Daphnia pulex: one gene and its partners. The protein of the gene in region 3 binds, or shares a complex with, the protein of the main gene of each other region. Links are inferred from orthologs where the notes say so. Each region holds a gene or a part of one and is shown on either strand. Other genes may lie near its edges.

What was found.
Region 1: eukaryotic translation initiation factor 3 subunit B-like (region 3) and eukaryotic translation initiation factor 3 subunit G-like share a complex: the UniProt entries of both Caenorhabditis elegans proteins name them as parts of the eukaryotic translation initiation factor 3 (eIF-3) complex. The link is inferred for Daphnia pulex from reciprocal best matches to the Caenorhabditis elegans genes eif-3.B and eif-3.G.
Region 2: eukaryotic translation initiation factor 3 subunit B-like (region 3) and eukaryotic translation initiation factor 3 subunit F-like share a complex: the UniProt entries of both Caenorhabditis elegans proteins name them as parts of the eukaryotic translation initiation factor 3 (eIF-3) complex. The link is inferred for Daphnia pulex from reciprocal best matches to the Caenorhabditis elegans genes eif-3.B and eif-3.F.

What each region holds. Positions count from the first base shown.
Region 1 is NC_060023.1:11,175,926-11,181,921, reverse strand, and holds eukaryotic translation initiation factor 3 subunit G-like, read left to right. Parts: upstream 1-2,442; 5' UTR 2,443-2,559; coding exon 2,560-2,579; intron 2,580-2,646; coding exon 2,647-2,687; intron 2,688-2,754; coding exon 2,755-2,993; intron 2,994-3,058; coding exon 3,059-3,226; intron 3,227-3,292; coding exon 3,293-3,443; intron 3,444-3,454; exon of another isoform or gene 3,455-3,563; coding exon 3,564-3,676; exon of another isoform or gene 3,677-3,746; coding exon 3,747-3,877; exon of another isoform or gene 3,878-4,036; coding exon 4,037-4,055; 3' UTR 4,056-4,138; downstream 4,139-5,996. Other genes in the region: tRNA (guanine-N(7)-)-methyltransferase-like, read right to left, coding at 1,260-1,397, 1,457-1,558, 1,639-1,783, 1,847-2,000, 2,065-2,183, 2,252-2,328; flocculation protein FLO11-like, read right to left, coding at 4,275-4,463, 4,540-5,534, 5,590-5,996. UniProt on the Caenorhabditis elegans protein: RNA-binding component of the eukaryotic translation initiation factor 3 (eIF-3) complex, which is involved in protein synthesis of a specialized repertoire of mRNAs and, together with other initiation factors, stimulates binding of mRNA and methionyl-tRNAi to the 40S ribosome.
Region 2 is NC_060026.1:11,478,947-11,484,554, forward strand, and holds eukaryotic translation initiation factor 3 subunit F-like, read right to left. Parts: upstream 3,143-5,608; 5' UTR 3,091-3,142; coding exon 2,982-3,090; intron 2,810-2,981; coding exon 2,521-2,809; intron 2,454-2,520; coding exon 2,362-2,453; intron 2,304-2,361; coding exon 2,053-2,303; intron 1,990-2,052; coding exon 1,906-1,989; 3' UTR 1,859-1,905; downstream 1-1,858. Other genes in the region: cyclin-dependent kinase 1-like, read left to right, coding at 450-498, 564-859, 920-1,075, 1,138-1,301, 1,370-1,622; transcriptional adapter 2-beta-like, read left to right, coding at 3,390-3,396, 3,470-3,567, 3,712-3,771, 3,830-3,986, 4,050-4,288, 4,355-4,596, 4,664-4,895, 5,136-5,191 and 1 more. UniProt on the Caenorhabditis elegans protein: Component of the eukaryotic translation initiation factor 3 (eIF-3) complex, which is involved in protein synthesis of a specialized repertoire of mRNAs and, together with other initiation factors, stimulates binding of mRNA and methionyl-tRNAi to the 40S ribosome.
Region 3 is NC_060026.1:9,962,029-9,968,472, forward strand, and holds eukaryotic translation initiation factor 3 subunit B-like, read right to left. Parts: upstream 4,068-6,444; 5' UTR 3,943-4,067; coding exon 3,810-3,942; intron 3,732-3,809; coding exon 3,536-3,731; intron 3,471-3,535; coding exon 3,164-3,470; intron 3,083-3,163; coding exon 2,687-3,082; intron 2,620-2,686; coding exon 2,372-2,619; intron 2,311-2,371; coding exon 2,066-2,310; intron 2,005-2,065; coding exon 1,835-2,004; intron 1,774-1,834; coding exon 1,570-1,773; intron 1,496-1,569; coding exon 1,387-1,495; intron 1,323-1,386; coding exon 1,225-1,322; 3' UTR 961-1,224; downstream 1-960. Other genes in the region: DNA-dependent protein kinase catalytic subunit-like, read left to right, coding at 4,650-4,758, 4,828-5,006, 5,077-5,266, 5,386-5,498, 5,569-5,749, 5,825-6,039, 6,099-6,265, 6,330-6,444. UniProt on the Caenorhabditis elegans protein: RNA-binding component of the eukaryotic translation initiation factor 3 (eIF-3) complex, which is involved in protein synthesis of a specialized repertoire of mRNAs and, together with other initiation factors, stimulates binding of mRNA and methionyl-tRNAi to the 40S ribosome.

The sequences.
Region 1 (5,996 bases), on a different chromosome or scaffold from region 3:
ACGAAATTCACAAAAAAACACAAGAAGACTTTCAGGGAGTTGGTTAATCTTTTTTCAGCCACAATACTGTCGGTGGAACCGTGTTTGACGTTGGGTAGAGAATGACAGCGGTTGGAGAGAGCGCACCAGCACCGTCTCTCATAGCACGAACTGGCTCGAATATGGCCAGGCCAACTCAACATGGCTGCATAGACTGTGAGATACGCCACACAGCGGCCGATTGCACAACCGCATCGGAAAGTGTCCCAATATTGACTCGGGGATCGAAGAAATTTCTATAAGACGAAAAGCCGTCGGACCGGAGCCGAACATATTCAAGTGTTTCCCATCCGTCAAGTGTTTAAATATTTCAAACAAAATAAAACTGCAGGAAATCATATTACGCAGCACAAATGGGTCACGCTGATGCGCACCATAAATTTTCATCGGAATATTATTTCCTTATATATTCTTTCATCTACCGCCTGCTAGGATTTCACATCCTATAACAATAAACATCACTATCAGTGATGCAATCTCGTCTTAGTCACTTAGTCGGCTTAGTGAAATTACATTTATGCCACGCTCCCCGAGTTTCAACCCATCCCATTTTCACAGCGTCGCAGAATTCCTACGCGCCTAATTCGATTAAGATTTTTACAAAATGGTATTCAACACGAATAACAATAAGTTGAAAGGATGGATGGTGACGTTTTTTTTCCACGTTCCTTTGCTTCCCATGAAATCGTCAGCTGACACATGGTCGATACGTAGACGACGGAAACTTAACACGATTTTTTTTTTCTCTATGAAGCAGATTATTGAACGTATCGATCGTATGAGCAAATGAATCAATAAGAACTCAAGCTCCACAAAAAGATACAAGTTAATCCCTTTGAAAACTAGAAACATTACAAATCAGGAAATCATTCATAAAAGACCCTTCAGTCAAACAGATCTACAAATGGATTGCCAAAAAAGAGAATGTTAAATTTATTTCCATGAAACTTTAATTCAAAGTGCCCATTCGTCATTTGACACGTTTGCGCGCGCTCCCTTTTCAGTTACAAAATACCGTACATACCTTATGAGTTCTTTGTCAACAACTATTGATCTTGGAAAATTTGTCTGTTCTGCGCATGGGCGATGCATACATAAAACGTGGGTCACCTATTTTGAATGGCAGCTTAAAGCTGGTTGATTATGTGAATTCCAGCAAACAGTTCCATTGGGAGCAATACAAGTGACGAGCAGGGAACCGGCAAACAAATTTGTATACATTAGCACTTGTTTTCTTCAAGTACGAATGGATCAGGAATTCTTCTGAATACAGCAAGAAATTTATCACCACTATTTCGCGTGACTTTTTTGCCCTCCTCCGTTGATTCGTACAGTTTTGGAACTACAATGTCTTGATCCTGATACCGCAAAAAGAATTTGTAGTTTTATAGCTATTTAATTATAAAGTATAACTAACCAGCTCTTCCTGGGTTAGTCTCTTAAATAATGGATGTTGGTCTAGATGCATAACCATCCATTCATGAAGATCTTTAACATCAGTAATTGTGTAAACCAAACCCTAAAGTAAAATTTAATTAATCACACAAGATATCTACATCAAGTAGCTAAAGAAGGGCCGTTCTAGGCCTGCCTACTTACCCCTTCAGCCAAAACATAGGCATATTCAGCCAAGAGAGTGTCATTGATAATACGCCACTTGTGTTTGGCCTTCTTAAAATGAGGATCAGGGAAGAGGAAAAACATTTTTGTCAATTGTCCTTTATCGAAAAAGCAAGGGAGGTACCTAGTAGCATAGAATAAATTAAGCAAACATGCCCAAGTAAATGAACAAAATAAATGTAAGTACTTCATGGCATTGCTTCTTAAGCAGGCAACATTTCCGTAATCACCTGGATGCAAAATCCTCAACGCCTTTATGCGATCCTGGACATATTCTGAAACTTTCAAACGAATCTCCATTCCTAACATTAAAGTCTCTGGGAACATGGTGGATAATGATACTGTTAAAAAAAAATACAAAATTAATTTTCCACATATTTTATTGGCAAAATGTGATAAAAATACTCAATAAACCGCCATAGCCACATCCAATATCAGCAAACTGAACTTTGTGTTTCATTATTCCATCTTTGCTGAATGTAGGATAGAGCTCATCCCATTTCATGTCATTGGGAGAGACAGGACTTCAAACGACAAATTGGGTTAGAAAATGACTTAATGATAAATCGAAAACTGGAAATAAGATACTCACTAGTCAAAACAGTGATCTGCGATAGGATTGGAGTGTGCTCTTTGTCGATAATATTTTTTCTGTGGTAAGCTAGCCATTTTTGCTGTATTCGAGTTCCACGTGCCGGAATCTCATAAACGGCGGGATTGTATTCGAAGAAGAGCAGACGAAATTGTAAAAGCAGTCAAAATTACGAAATGAATTTTTCAAAACTGGCAATGTCGCTCTACACACGTTCTAATGGCTGCTTGCTGACACATTTCTGCAATAGCAGTGAATTTTCTACTTTTTGATTATTTACTTGACGTAATCAATCTTCTCCAAGAAAAATGCCGGTTGCTGATAATGAGTAAGTGAAATGAGACAAATTAATGTGCAAATATTAAAAATACAACACAATCTTGATATGATTTCAGAGTTAAATCCAGTTGGGCCGATGACGTTGAGGATATCGATGGTTAGTAATGCCGCTTCCCCGTAATTAATGTAAGATTTTCTTTAATCATGCCGGTATTATTCCTTAGGTCTCGGTTTACCCCCTAACACTGAAGAATACAAAAATGGGCTGAAAATTGTCACAGAGTATGGTCTTGATGATGATAACAGGAAGTTCAAGGTGGTGCGTACTTACAAAATAGAGAAAAGGTATGTAGCTAAAGCCATTGCCCAGCGTAAAAGTTGGCCAAAATTTGGTCTTTCCAAGGAAGATAAACCAGGACCAAACCCTGCAACAACAATTGTATCTGAAGATGTAGCCATGCAGGTATTTCTTTTCTCAGTTGATCTATCAAAACCGTTGGATGCTAATTACCATTTTTACTTTGACAGTTTATTACGAACAAAGAGGATCCTGATAACAAGGAAGATGACCCTCTTATGAAGTTAAAAAGCATGCAGAAGGGCATTGTTAAGTGTCGTATCTGTAAAGAGGACCATTGGACAACACAGTGTCCTTACAAGGACACACTTTTGCCTGTCCAAGAAGCACTCAATAAGGTAAACACATTTTCTTTATTTTGAATTGAACTCTTGCTAATTTTGCTCTATATCTCTTTAATTAAGGCTGAGGAGAAGAAGGCCGGCCCGCCTCCTGCCGCAGCTGCTGCTGGAGGACCGCAAGCCAAGGGTGGTAAAGAAGGAAGCGCCTATATTGCACCTGCACTTCGTGATGGTGGCAACAGAAAAGGAGAGACTATGGCTATGGGTCGACGAAGTAAGATACAGTTTCTTCATAGTAGTTTATTTCATATTATTAAAACCACCGGAGAAGTAATAGAAAACATACATAGGAAAAACATTATTTAATGATTACCCTTTTCTTTCCCGATAACAGCTGATGAAGGGTGCACTGTACGAGTAACCAACCTCTCGGAAAACGCTCGCGATTCCGATCTTCAAGAATTGTTCGGCCGTATTGGCGAAATCTCACGCATCTTCCTCTCAAAGGTTAGACTCAAATTTATTCACTAATTATCATTTTGTAAAAATTATGGCACCGCTTCAAACTGAATTTTAGGACAAAAACACTGGCCAATCCAGAGGTTTTGCATTTGTCAGCTACAAACGACGAGAAGACGCCGAACGAGCTATCAAGACCTTGAATGGTTTTGGTTACGACCATCTTATCCTGACTGTCGAATGGTCTAAGTAAGTTAGCTCTCAATTCACTTAATTTCATTCAAAATAGTTGTGAGCTGAATTTGAAATTCATGACTGGAATTTTTAAAATTTTATTTTTTAACAATTTAGTTCTTTAAATTGACGAGTCAAATGAAACTGATCTTTCTCTTTTCAATCGTTTAACAGACCATCGGGAACACAGTGAAAAAAGCCTAAAATTCCTTCATCAAATATTGGATGCTACGATCATGTAAAGGGATAAAAAAAATACACGCAAATGGATTCCAATCAAGCTCTTCAACCCTCTATCACAGACATGAACCGAATTTTCACCTTTCTCTTTTGTCTTTCTAAGCTAAACATCAAGGGAATGAGGATTACCTCACCTAAACATTATTTTTAAGTGAAAAAAAAGTAAAGTTATCTAGTTTTGCGCTGATTCATCCTCGGCTTGACGTGCAAGATGATAGCCCCTGCTGTTACTGCTAAAGCCTCGTCCTTTACGTTTTGCCAGGTACCAGGCTACAAAAAAGACTGTCGTGATAAAAATGGTGCATCCTAGAACTATGTACATCAGGGAAAGTGGATTCGACTCGATCAATGCGCCTGTTACCTGTATCAACACGGTAAACAAAACAGACGGGTTATAAATACGTAGTGGAAATCATTAGCATTTAAATTTAACGTACCGTTGGGAATATCATCTCTCCCATTGAAGAAGCAACTGAGAAAGCCGCAGAAATCCGGTTAGTTACCAGCAGGTGTGTTTCGGTCCATATGAAGCCTGTTGCGAAGGTTGAAGCCATTCCTACGCCAACCAAGGCCGAACCGACGTACAAAATAGTGGCGTCCGTCTGCCCAGCAACACAGAGAGTCATCGAGCCGAGCGCAGTAGAGCATAAGTTGAAAATGAGCATGGCTGTGGGATTGGTGAAGTGGGCAACGAAAATGGCTACAAATCGTGCGGCCGCGAACGAGGCCCAGAATGTAGTTGTGATGTAATTGGCAGTCGAAGTCGATAGCTTAAGTGGGCTCTCCAACGCAAATGTAGTAAGGAACTGAGCAAATACGACCTCAGAGCCGACGTACATCAAGTAAAACGAGAACATCAGCACGACGAAGGATATCTTGGCGCTGGGCCGGAAAGGTTTAACTTTCCGATCAGACGTTTGACGTTCGGCGGTCGAGCTGCGAGTTCCAGAACACAGAAAGAAGAGAAAGAAAAAGGCTGTGTGCAAGACGATGATGGCGATAACGGTATACAACATGTGCATCCGCGTAACTCCAAAACGCTCCAGATAGTCAGAAACTTTAACGGGGGACCGATCAATAGTCTCGCTCTCATTGTGGATGGGTGAATTTGTTGTTGTCACAAGTACGTTAGGCTCGGAAGTTGTGACTGGAAGTACGAGCGTAGTCGAGGGAACCACCGAGCTGACTTCATCTTGTTGACCTCTGCTCTTTCCACGACTCTTGACTACAACATTATCTGCAAGGTCGACTGGCAATGTTGTAGCAACTGGAATGGGTAATGAAATGTTTTTGATGGTCGTGGGTAGCAATTCTATCGAGGATGGTGTCGTCGTTGTCGAAGTTGTAGTTGAAACAGCCGTAGTTGATTGAGACGTCGTCGAAGAATAAAGAGGAGTTGTAGTAGGGAATGTTTTAACATTAAGTTCAGCACCTACAAGTTCAATATTAAAATCGTGTTTACATTATTTTCTGATTGTTAAAATTACCTTTTGTTACGTTGTTGATGGCAGTTTCTTTAGGCTGGAATTCAGCGTTTAAGTTTGATGAATTGATAACGGGTTCTACAGTAGTTAGAGGAATGGTGGTTATCGTAGAGTTTTCAGTAACAGGACTCAAAGTTGAAGAAGTGACGGTATCGTTTCCGGTGGATTCAGACGCATTCTTGGATGAAACGGTAGAAGTATTATTGTCACTGCTGCCGATATTGAGCCCTTGGACTTCATTGGATTTTTGGAGTATCATCGTTATTTCCGTCATGTTATCTTGAGCTTTCGGGGTACCATTGATGGAAGGAGGAATTGTTGTTATATCGGTGGATGTAAGCGTAATGGCGGGTGTAGTTTGATTTTCGTTGGATGACGCAGTCGTGGTAGTTACAACGACTTCCTGGGGC
Region 2 (5,608 bases), about 1.5 Mb from region 3:
ACAAATTCGAAATCGTATAGTAGGTTCGTCAAATACATCCATTTTGTCCAATGGGTTTCTGATTATCACCCATAGAGGGCCGTGATTCTGTGAAGTGATGAAGTCGTTTCAAAATTTGGCGGTTACATTCCTTAGTCCAACGGCCGCCACCGTCTCTTTGACATCCAAGTGTGCTCACCTTTTCCTTTAAAGTCGAGTCTGTGGAAACACGTTGGGTACGAACTTTCTTTACTTTGTTAGATTATTCTCTGTTTATCGTGTAACGAAATATTTTATGCAAGAGTCTTACGAATCAATTGATGACAATCTGATTTGCAGGTGGAATACGAAGAATACGTCACTCCAGTTTTTGTTTGCTGCCATTCGACTTCAAATTTCCGTTACTTTCCCGAGATTTCAATTCTTCACACTTTTTGGTTTTTGTTCTTGTTTCTTAACAAACAATAGTGATGCCTTCTGCAATGGAAGACTTTACCAAAATAGAAAAGATCGGTGAAGGTAATGATCCCTGGTACACTAAGCTGTGTAACTTGAACTGATTTTAAAACTTTTGTTTCGCAAAGGTACTTATGGTGTTGTCTACAAGGCTAAAAACCGTAAGACTCAACAATTTGTTGCCATGAAGAAAATCAGGCTTGAAAATGAAGATGATGGTGTTCCTTCGACAGCCATCAGGGAGATATCACTTTTGAAAGAGCTGCTACATCCCAATATCGTCTGTCTGGAGGATGTTTTGATGCAAGAAGGAAAGCTGTATTTAATTTTTGAGTTCCTGTCAATGGACCTTAAAAAGTACATGGACAGCATTCCAACTGGGCAGTTGATGGATAAAACTCTTGTTAAGTCTTATTGCCACCAGGTTTGCTTAGAAGATTTAGGACTCATTTATATATTGGCCTGATTTATATTTTCCCTCTAGATTTTGGAAGGCATTTTATATTGTCATAGACGTCGAGTTTTGCATAGAGATTTGAAGCCCCAGAACTTACTCATCGATAAAAACGGAATTATTAAGATAGCTGATTTCGGTCTTGGGCGCGTATTTGGAGTTCCCGTTCGTGTCTACACTCACGAGGTAAAGGAAAGAAGGTTCCCAATGCATGGACGTATACTATAAATTCTTTTGAACTCACGAAGGTTGTTACTCTATGGTACCGTGCTCCTGAAGTATTGCTTGGGTCATCAAGATATTCGTGCCCCATAGACGTGTGGTCGGTTGGCTGTATTATGGCTGAAATGATAACGAAAAAGCCATTGTTCCAAGGAGATTCGGAAATTGATCAGCTTTACCGTATTTTCCGGTAGTGTTACTTGTCCTTTTTTTTTTATTTTTAAAATTACATTTGTTCCTATTTTATTTGAAACACAGAGTAATGAAGACGCCCACGGAGGAAATGTGGCCAGGCGTTTCAAAAATGCCCGACTATAAACCTACTTTCCCTAATTGGAATACTTACCACCTTCAAAATTCCGTGAAGCAACTTGACTCGATTGGATTTGATCTGCTTCAAAAAACTCTCATTTACGATCCAGCCCTTCGTATCACGGCTCAGGATGCTTTAGATCATGCTTGGTTTACCGATCTGGATAAATCTATCTTACCCACCAATGTGCCTGCTTAATTAAGCATTCCTCATGTAAACGATAGCTACTAAACCTGGCCAACTTCCTGATGGTCGTTTCTTGAAATTCTGTTTTTCGCTTTTCCTAATCATCATTTTTTTTGCTCTCTGAGAGAAGATGGGTGTGATTCTTTTCCTTGGTAGCGAAGAAATTTTCTTCCCCCTTGTGTACGTGTGACTGTATACTATAGTTTCCTAATAAATATGCTCACGAGGACTACATCAGAAAATTGTAATTTAATTGGGAGATGTTCATTTTTATTTTTTATATCAACGTTCTGAATTAAATTGTCAACAATGTGAGTTTTTCGTTCAGCGACAGTTGAGTCTTGGTAAGTTGTGATAGATATAATACCATCAATAAATCCTAAATTAATAAAGTTTTACAAAAATTAGATTAAATAAGTAAATATTGGGTAATGTTTTCTACCTTTCGGTTTGAATTAAGCATCTCTTCAAATTCGTCGGGTGTCATTTTAGGTACCGAATGAACCATATCTAATAGAGAACGACCAAACGTGTTGTCAGCCGTTTTGGAGCCACTCATTACGTCGTCAACATAAGCCAAGATAGTGTCCAGCATGTTTTCCATCTGCTGCGAGGCTTCAACAATCTGAGTAAGATCCGAAGCGATGCCCGCTTGACGTTTAACCGAGGTTTTGGTTTTCTGGCAGGCATTTACTGAAAAACAATCAAAGATTAATTCCCAGTATACATACACATTTTCTATTATAATTACATCCAATAGTTTCTGGGTCATAGCATGCTATCTCAACAGAAACAGGAGCAAACATGCATCCCATAGTTTTGCCTGTGATACCCATTGGGACACTAGATGATAATTTAAAGATAATTATTTTTCAAAGCAATTGTATCATACTGAATTAATAGCATGTACCTGACATAAGCTTTGATTCCCATACGGGTATCTTGCAATGTGGTGTCCACTGTAATGTGAACAGGATTGGAGGACTCTCTGGAGTAGTACTCATGAATAAGAGCAGAGTGAGATGTGACTCCAGTACCAGTTGCCCACCAACCTACAATGCTTTCTTGGGGATTAACTTTACGATGCAAGTCATACATATCCTTGGCAAAGTCCAATTCCACAGCCACTTCTTCTTCTGATTCATTGTGAGGCACACAAAAGCAATTGGTCACTTCCACACCATTTTTATCTGATGTGCCTGGAAAAAATCAATATGAAAAATGAGTTATCACAACTTCGATTTCGCATATTATAGGAATTTAGGTATATAATCCAAAGATTTTGTCAGGTACTCGATACCGATACACGTGTCAACAGTCGAAAAAACAATAAAACGCGAAAGCAAACGGATGATCTAAATTGTATGTTACCAAGCAACGTTCCAATTACTCTCTGTGCATCAGGATTACGACGCTCATAAGAGTCAATAATCTGAAATAATACAACAGGATGCAACTTGACAGTCAGATTGAGAGCCATTTTGCGTGACTTTTTTTGCAGACCACTACCGCATTGGAGCTGAAAAAGCCGACACGAACTAGTTGCCAATTGGTGATATATAATACGTTGAATTATTTCTATTTACCAAACACGTCTCGTTATACATTAAAAAAAATTTAATTTAATAAAATGTACGGTGTACATTGTTTATAAATTTTACACGTCATTTTAATTATTTTTTAAAGACTTCTCACTTCTCAGTCACCAGAGGGCGCGACCAATGCTTTCGCTAGCGTTGGCATAGCTTAGTTGTTCTTGATGGGAAGGGAAGGCTAAAGATGGCGGGTAAAAAAAAATGCTCTCGTTGAATCCTTATTTTCGAAAATTGAAAATCTTTCTTTCTGTATCCATTCCTCAGATTTATTTATGAAGCATCGATGTGGCTACTGTCAGGACGACATCCTTGGCATTCGAATCCGATGTAACGTTTGTGTCGATTACGAACTTTGTTTACAGGTGTGGTATAAAATCTTCGTTGAATGAATCCCTCCCCTTCCTTCTTTGTTGTTTGTTATGACGCCCACCGGAGTGGTATTGCCGGTTGGTCGGCGGCGAATTTGAATTATTTTAATAACACAGTTTTGCAATGTTTCTTTCTAGTGTTTCTCTCTTGGCTGTGAAATTGGACCACATAAAAGTAGTCATGGATATAGATTAATAGTGAGTATTTAAGTTTTTCTATCAAACTCTCAATAAATACTTTATTTTTAATTTCTAGGATCCTGGTACTTTTAGTATTTTTCCTGACCAACAAAGGGAGGATGAAGGTGGCTGGATTGCAAGGGAAGACTATCAGTTACTTGATGCAATAGAACAGTTTGGTTATGGAAATTGGGAAGATGTTGCGAAACATGTAGAAACACGGGATTCAGAAAGTAATTGTTGATTTTTATCAGGATTTTATCATCAGTTACTCTCCAATTATGTTTTTTTTACAGAATGCAAAGAACAGTACTGTGATAGATTTGTCACAGGAACAATAGGTAAACTAACATGGCAAGGGCTTCCAAATGGACTTCTCGCAAGTGGAGAGTCTCGCTTGGCAGCAATTGATCACACTTGTCCAGATAATGCACCTCTATCTCCATCCATCACATCACGACTACCACCTTTAGCTATTCAACCTGAAGAAACATTAGAACTTGGATACATGCCTCAAAGAGATGATTTTGAAAGGGTGGGTCTTAATTTGTCATGAAACAAATTGTCTTAAAAACTTCAACATTATTTTTATTTTTTGTAGGAACATGACAATGAAGCTGAGGCAATTGTTTCTCATCTTGCCATTAATCATGACGACGAGGATATTGATTTGGCTCTAAAACTGGCTCAAGTCGATATGTATACTCGCCGCCTGAGGGAAAGAGCCCGAAGGAAGCGGGTTGCTCGGGATTTTCAACTGGTATCCCAATTTTTTAACGCTATCAAGAAAGAGAAGGAAAAACCTACGACTGCCGCAAAAAAAAGGGAGTCCCAAAAGGAAAAGTAATTCATGTTTCAATTAGTTAACTATAGATTCATTACAAACAGTTACATTTTTTTCCTTGTACAGAGAAACGCAAGAAAAATTTCGTTCGTTTTCCCAATTCCACACGGCACCTGAGCATGAGCAATTCTTACGCAATCTAACTAAAGAGAGAGCTTTGCGATTGCGGATTCGAGAACTAATCAAATACCGTAGGAATGGATTAACTCGACATGAGGAATGTACTGAATATGAACGACTGCGATACTTCCGTGAAAGAAAGAAAGAAGCCCGGTTGGAGCGCCAGCGCCGGAAATCCGTAAGCAATTTTCCCAGTCTGTACTATTGCTTGCATAGTTTCGTCAAGCGATAGTAAGAGTGTGCGACTGGTTTATTTACCTGTTAATACTTCGTTGAAATGAATCATTATTGGTGGTGTCCATTGGTTGAATATTCGATTTTATTTTTTTACTTATGTGTCTTTATTTTAAGTATCTTACAAGCTAGTTAAATTAGAACCCAAAAAAGACTGGAAATTGAACAATAGACTTTAACGTAGGGAAGCAGTGGACCGGGGCCGATTGTACAAAACCCTGGGACACTACACAAGTCAGAGTAAGCTTTATTATTTCCCCTTTTTTACATACTATGTGCAGTTTAACTCATCAGTTACCTGTGATAGCTTTGCATTATATTACGAAATCTCAACTATATTTCTTAGTTCTTAGAATTGTTAAGTAAATTCGTGGCTTATGTATGTAACTTGTTTTTTTTGTTTTTTTTTTTTTTTTCGCAGCAACGCAAGGGAAGAAGTGCTACTTTCAAGCTTTCGAGACGCAAAAGTCACCTCCTTCGGCAGCAACAACAACAGCAGCGTCCTCAGCGTTTCAAGCAGTCTGCCTCGACTCGGGCCCGTACTCTCCGCTAATACCCGACTTTCACAGTCAGAATGGCAGGAGGCAGTTGCTAATTTCCTCGCCAAGAGCGACGATCTCACTTTATGTCCCGGTTCAGAACTGCTCAGTCCTGCTG
Region 3 (6,444 bases):
GAATATAATGATATAATATAAATAATAACACTGAGCATATAGAGCAAGACATTGAAATGGTTAACAAGAAATATCACCCTGAATTGAAATGTTTATAAATTCTACTTTATTCCTGCTGCAAGACACTTAACTATATTAACAATTTGAATTTTAAGCTGATTCAATGTTGGACATTGTACTCTAGCTAAGTTAACGATAACGAAATAAAAGTTCCTTCTATACACTGACTATTTTTATTTATTAGTGAGATTCAAATATATTTGATTGTTATAAATACATTTTATTTGAATTTCCAAATAATTCAAATCTAAACCATTCAAATTTCAAAACACAGAAACAGAATGCCATCGGTCGCCAAATGAAAGTACTACATATTTCCTTTCCGGAGTGCAATAGCCACTTTTGACGCTAGAGGACTCCGGACTCCGGAGTGCAATAGCCACTTTTGACACTAGAGCGCTCCGGACTCCGGAGTGCAATAGATTTTACCATTACCATGTCTGACAAAACTGATCGAAATGAAAACTTCGCCTTCTTCTTCACACCACTTCACACCCAACTTCGTGTCATAATGTGAGACAACGTTGCCGCACGCACCAGAAAAAAATGTAGTAGTAAAAATAATATTTTTGTTTTTCCAATTTTCCAATCCATTCCAGTTTCCAACATTCTATAAATCCGTCATTTCCTTCAGACTTCAATTCCATTTCCCACTATAACCCATAAATTCCGAAATGCTAACTAATTCAAGCCATGGAAAATTTAAGTACTTCCAGTCTTTCATTACTCTGCTGTCAAAATGATCGAACTCCATGTTTCGATTACAGTACCCTCGGGCACTATAAGAAAGAGTATATCTCTGTTAAGAGTTTAAGACTAACATTATAGAAAAATTTGCAGACTTATTGATCAACGAATGTTAACGGTAAATTTTTCCCAAACAGAAACATGTACAATATATTCCTTTTTACTTCTCGTTCAACTTCAGTTGCGACGAGGCAATCAAAATGTATTTTTGATAATCTAAAGGGTACATGATAGTTGAAACCAAAGAGAGACGCAAACAGCCATAACCAATCGATGAGACACACAATTATATTTGTCTTCATTTTCTGATGTTGGATTTGTCGGATATTAATATCTGACAAAAACCTCGAGATGTGCTGCCTTTCACTGAATAAGCAGCACGCCTCAAGATGTGGTGATTGTTTACAGTCTTGGCAATTACTCGTCGATGAATGTCGTCTCCTCTTTAATGAAAAACTCGACTGTCTCCTCTTCTAATTCCCCTCCACGGCCTTCAGTTTCATCCGTATCCACGTCTGTGAATTCATTTGTGAGTTAAATCCTGATAAGCTTACTTATTAACTAGGTTTAAGAACTTACTGTTGCGCAATTCGATACGACGGCGACGTTGAGCGTCATAGTCCTCTTGCTTCTGCTTACGCAAGTCTTCATATTCTTGCATCAGTTTGCGGCGTTTTTCTACCAATTCCTGGGTGAAGTTTGAAAATGTCAGATTTTTAGAAAATACTTTCGCCAAAAATTACACATTCAAAAAATATTTACTTTGGAAGCTTTAGTCATTTTCAATCGATCCTTCACTTCGAATTGGGCACTAAATTTCTTCAAAGACTTCTTAATGTCCTTTATTTGTTGGGCTGGAAGTAATGAAGGTGGTCGAGGTCTCCATTGCAGCTGACAGAATTTGTCTAGTGCTACGCGTTTGAGAATGCGTCCTTGGAAGGACCACAACCAGTAGGCATTATCGACCTGTCAAAGTACAAGAGATCAAACATTGTCAAAAATGAATACATTGCTTGATTTTTGTTACCTTGTGACCCCACCAGGAAACAGCAGTTGCGACATACCGACCGGTTGGATCCCACTCCACATCAGTAGCCATGAAGTGTTCGCCCGTATTCATGACGGTAAAATCATGGGTGTCGACAAATTCCAATGTGCCAGACATGGCACGTAGGCCGGCTAACACAATGAACTGGCCTGTTCGATAAAGTATAGTAAGGATTTTAGAATTTTAACATTAAATTTAATGTTTTCTTACCAGAAGGGGCCCAGTACAACTGGTTGCAAGGTTTACGTTCGTATTTTTTAACCATCGTAGGCGTTTGTCCAGTTTTAACTTCGAAGAAAGAAACAGAAGTACTCGGTGGCTCACCGTGGATGACGGCAAACTTAGTACCAACTGGCTCCCACGCAAAAGCTTGAATGGTTTCCTTGATTTCTACCGAGTCGACTGGAATTTGTTTTTCTCGCATGTGGAAAACTTCCAAATTGTAGTAGATACCGCTATCAAAGGGGGGAAAATTAGCTTTTATATCTATTAATTGAAGGAGTGGCATCTCATTACCTGTATTTGATATCGGACTTATCTTTCCTTAATTTGGCATAGCGGTCGACTTTCACACACAAATAGTCACCTGATTTTTGCCAATACATTTTACAGTCGGCAACGCTAAACAAATTTTTGACTCGCACTTCATTGCGACTTGGCAACTCAAGAAGTGTGACGCGAGCAGGAGTATCTTTCTCCTCTCCGACCCAATAAGCAATCGTATTGTCTGTTGGGCTCCAGGCAAAATCTCGAATTCCTTGAACCTATCAAAATGTAAGAGTGCATGTTAGGAAATGGTTATTAGAAGATTTTGTAAATCGTGTACGTTACTTTGATCGACTTCTTGTCTAAAAGGCCAAATGATGGGGTTTCATAAACAGAAAGCATGTCGATTCCCATCCTAGCGAAATACTTGTCATCATGCGACCACTTAAAAATGGGCAGGGCTTGAGATTTATCGGCATTAAAAGCTCGTCGCTTAAGACCGCTCAACACGTCCCAAATGATGATGGCTTGTGGTTCATCAGTTGCTCTTGAATCAGCCAGTGGACTAAAAGATACTAAATACTTCTCACATGGTGAGAAGTCAATGAATTGCACTCCTGGATGACTGAAGCGCACAATTTGTTGAAACTTTTCACCACCCCAAAGAGCTATACCCTTTGCATGGAAAGTGGCTAGATAGGTGCCAAGAGGTGACCACCGCACTAGAGTCTCAGTCCATCTCTGTGAAGATAATTATTGGTCAGATAAAATTTTAATATGAAAAAAAAAAATAATAATAATAATAAAGGTGAAGTGACTCACAGGTCTTTCTTCCAGCAGAGAGGGTTCAGGTTGAGTGTTCAAATAAACAGCAACTTTGTCTCCCTGCTCATACACAACTGAGAATTGGTCACAAGCGTCTTGATCAAGAAGATAGTATTGAAGGCATCCTTGCTCCTTAAACGGCTGAGGAATTGGATTTTCCCACTTATCAAGAATGTCATTATATTTTTCGAAGTCAGTAAGTAAGTTCACAGTGAAGGTGTGATTTTTGTCGAACTTGTAACCATTAGTTCCTTTAAGAACTTCCAATGCTTCATTGGCATTTGAGTACTCTATGAAAACATGGCTTCAAAAGTATATTATGTTAAAATTGGGCTGACACAAAAGTTAAAAAAAAAACTAATAAATTACCCTTTAGTTGATCCATCAGCATTAAGAGGATAATATTCATTAGTTATTTTTCCAAACTTTTGGAATAGTTTTCTCAGGACATTTTGAAGTTTTTCTATCCTCTCAGTACCAACCTGAGGAACACCGTCAATAACAACAATTGATTCGACTCCGTCGGTTTCTTTCGGACGCTGCCTGATGAGGTCACCTATAAGATCTACATTGACAGTTAGCAAGATTCAATGCCGGCATGCTCAGGAAAGCCATATGGCAAAAGGTAAGTTACAAACGGTACCTTCTTCAGAAATATCGTCCTCATAACCTTCCGGATCATCGAAGTTGGGCTCGTCTTCTAATTCATCGTTTGGGTTAGAATCCGAGTCATCGTTATTTTGCTGAGCTCGATCATTTTCTTTTCGTCGAGCCATGATGAAAAACAAGCACTGCACACCGGACACGAGTCTTTAATGGCGGAAGCCTGTGCCAGATTTCAACAAATAATACTACCATCGAGAAGGCCAAGGCAACCACCATCCACCAATCAGGCAATCACCATTCACCAAACACCATAGGTAACTTGGTGACTAGCCTAGCCTGTCAGCTAGAACGGGATCTTCTGAAGGGAAAATAATTTAGATTTTTTATTATTATTATTTTTTCTTGATTTTTATTCGCATTATAATCATACATTGGATTTTTTTTTGTTTTCAGAAAATAGCCTACATTTATTCATTTCCAAAAAAGTTGAATCCTTATACCCATTTGAGGAATGAGTTGGTAATAATTTTTTTAAATATTTTTAAAGTAACGTAATGATATTTTAAAACCATGATAGCGAATATTTTACAAATATGTATTACGCCTAACTATCAGTCATGGCAAATATGCCTACGCAAAAGCACAATTCTAGCAGCCGAATCATCATAACCCGGGAGGGATGAAAACATCACTTAGGCCTATAACCTACGTGAGTTAACGTTGATCGCAAAATTTTGAAGAACCACTACAATTGAAAACTTGTCTTAACATTTAAATATGTATGATTAAAGTTTTAAAGTCGTAAAAATTGCGAATAATCGAGAAGAAGTTGGCCTTTTAAAAGTGTCCGGTTGTCGGTAACATCGAGGAATATAAAATGGACAGCGTATTGGAAGGTTATCTATTTCAGATGCATTCTGGAACGTGCAGCGATATGCTGGAGCAAATCAAGGATATTAAAGATGTTGTATCCAAAACCAAAGACAGTAGGTTTCAAATATTGGTCCCATCAAAAACATGTTAATCAATTCATTTACATTGTATTTTTTCTAAAGATTCTGTTGTCTCGGCTTTACTAAACAAAGAAATTGGATTAATTTCCTTGTTGTCCAAGTTCAGAGATTCTCAAAAGGATGACAACTTTGCAGAAATAATAAATTGTGCCCTGTCAATTTTGGGTGATTTACTGGAAAAATTTGGAGAATCCATGAGCAACCATTTAGTGGTTATTAAAGTATGGAAAATAATTAATATTACCTAGCTATGTGTAAAAACCTAATAGTATAACTTTCATTTACCTTAAGAATTTAGCATTGATGTACATGAACTCCAAAAATTCTAAGATACGAGGAGCTTGTTATTTTGTTCTTTGCCAAGTTGTTATTACTGCTCAAACTTCACCAACAGAAATATTAGAAGAACTGAATTTGCCAGCCCTTTCTAATATGCTTTTTGAAAAAATGGCTACATCTTCTGATGATAGTTCAAGCAAAGGTGATTAATTAAAAAGACTATTGTATAATTACCCTGTTTGTTATGCAGATTGTATTATTACTGTGTATGCATAGATATGTATTTCTATGGTTATTTATAATATTTATGTTTTACTTTAGCGAAAATGAATTTCCTAGTACTCCTAGGCAGACTGGCCCAGTACTTTCCTAGTACACTGAAGGAAAAGGCCAGTCGCATCATTAACCAACTCCTTTATGAACTTGAAAAGGAGGTAACTAAACATTAACGTAAATAATTACGTTCTGTAAAATCAAATAATTTTTCTTTTTCTTTCTTTAAAGGTGAAAAGGCAGCATGATTTCAAAGATAAACGTGTAGCAGGCTGTATTGAAGCTCTTACAGGATTTCTCCATTCATTTAATTCAATCGTTGACCAAAAATGTAGGGAAAAAATTCATAGTTACTTATTGATGCTTCTCACGAAATTTTTACTGGTCGATAAGAGAGTTCATACCAAAAAAGGTGGTTATATTAACATTTGGTTTTTCATTATTTTGCCTGAACTATTTATTTTTTGTTTTTGTTTTTTATGCACAGCCGCATTGAACATGCTGGAAGAACACGCATCTCTCTTCAATAACTTGCTGCTAAAGCAATACAAATCCTGGTTCGATAACTTGAAATCTTATGCTTTGCGCGAAAAAACAGATATTCTTGAAAGTGGTCTGAAAGCACTTGGGAAGTTTATTGACGAAAGCGTAAAAATTTTGAAGATTGAATCAGATGCTACACACAAATCATCAATACTCGAGGTTTTCATTTTCATGTGTATTAATGTATATTTTCTTCTGTTTAAAATTTATCTTCTTAGTTTTTCATGAAGAATGTGATAGAGATTTTGGAATCTGATCAGGCTTCCCTCCAGCTCAAATGTGTTGGCCTTAAAGCCTTGGGCGAGTGTAGCTTCTTGGTTTCTGGAAAGAATGTATCACACATTTTTGAGTATCTACTCAATAAGACATCGTTTATTTGTATCCAGTATGCAGGCCTTTTGATCAATTAAAATTCCATCTTAAAACTAACAATTTAATAAATTCTGCAGGGAGGATACTTCAAAGAGCTTGGATCTTTTTCCTATTTGCCTTGAATCCCTTGGACTTGTTCTCATGCGCTATGCTACCCCCGTAGGAATTGAAAGAACACAGCAGCTACAGAAA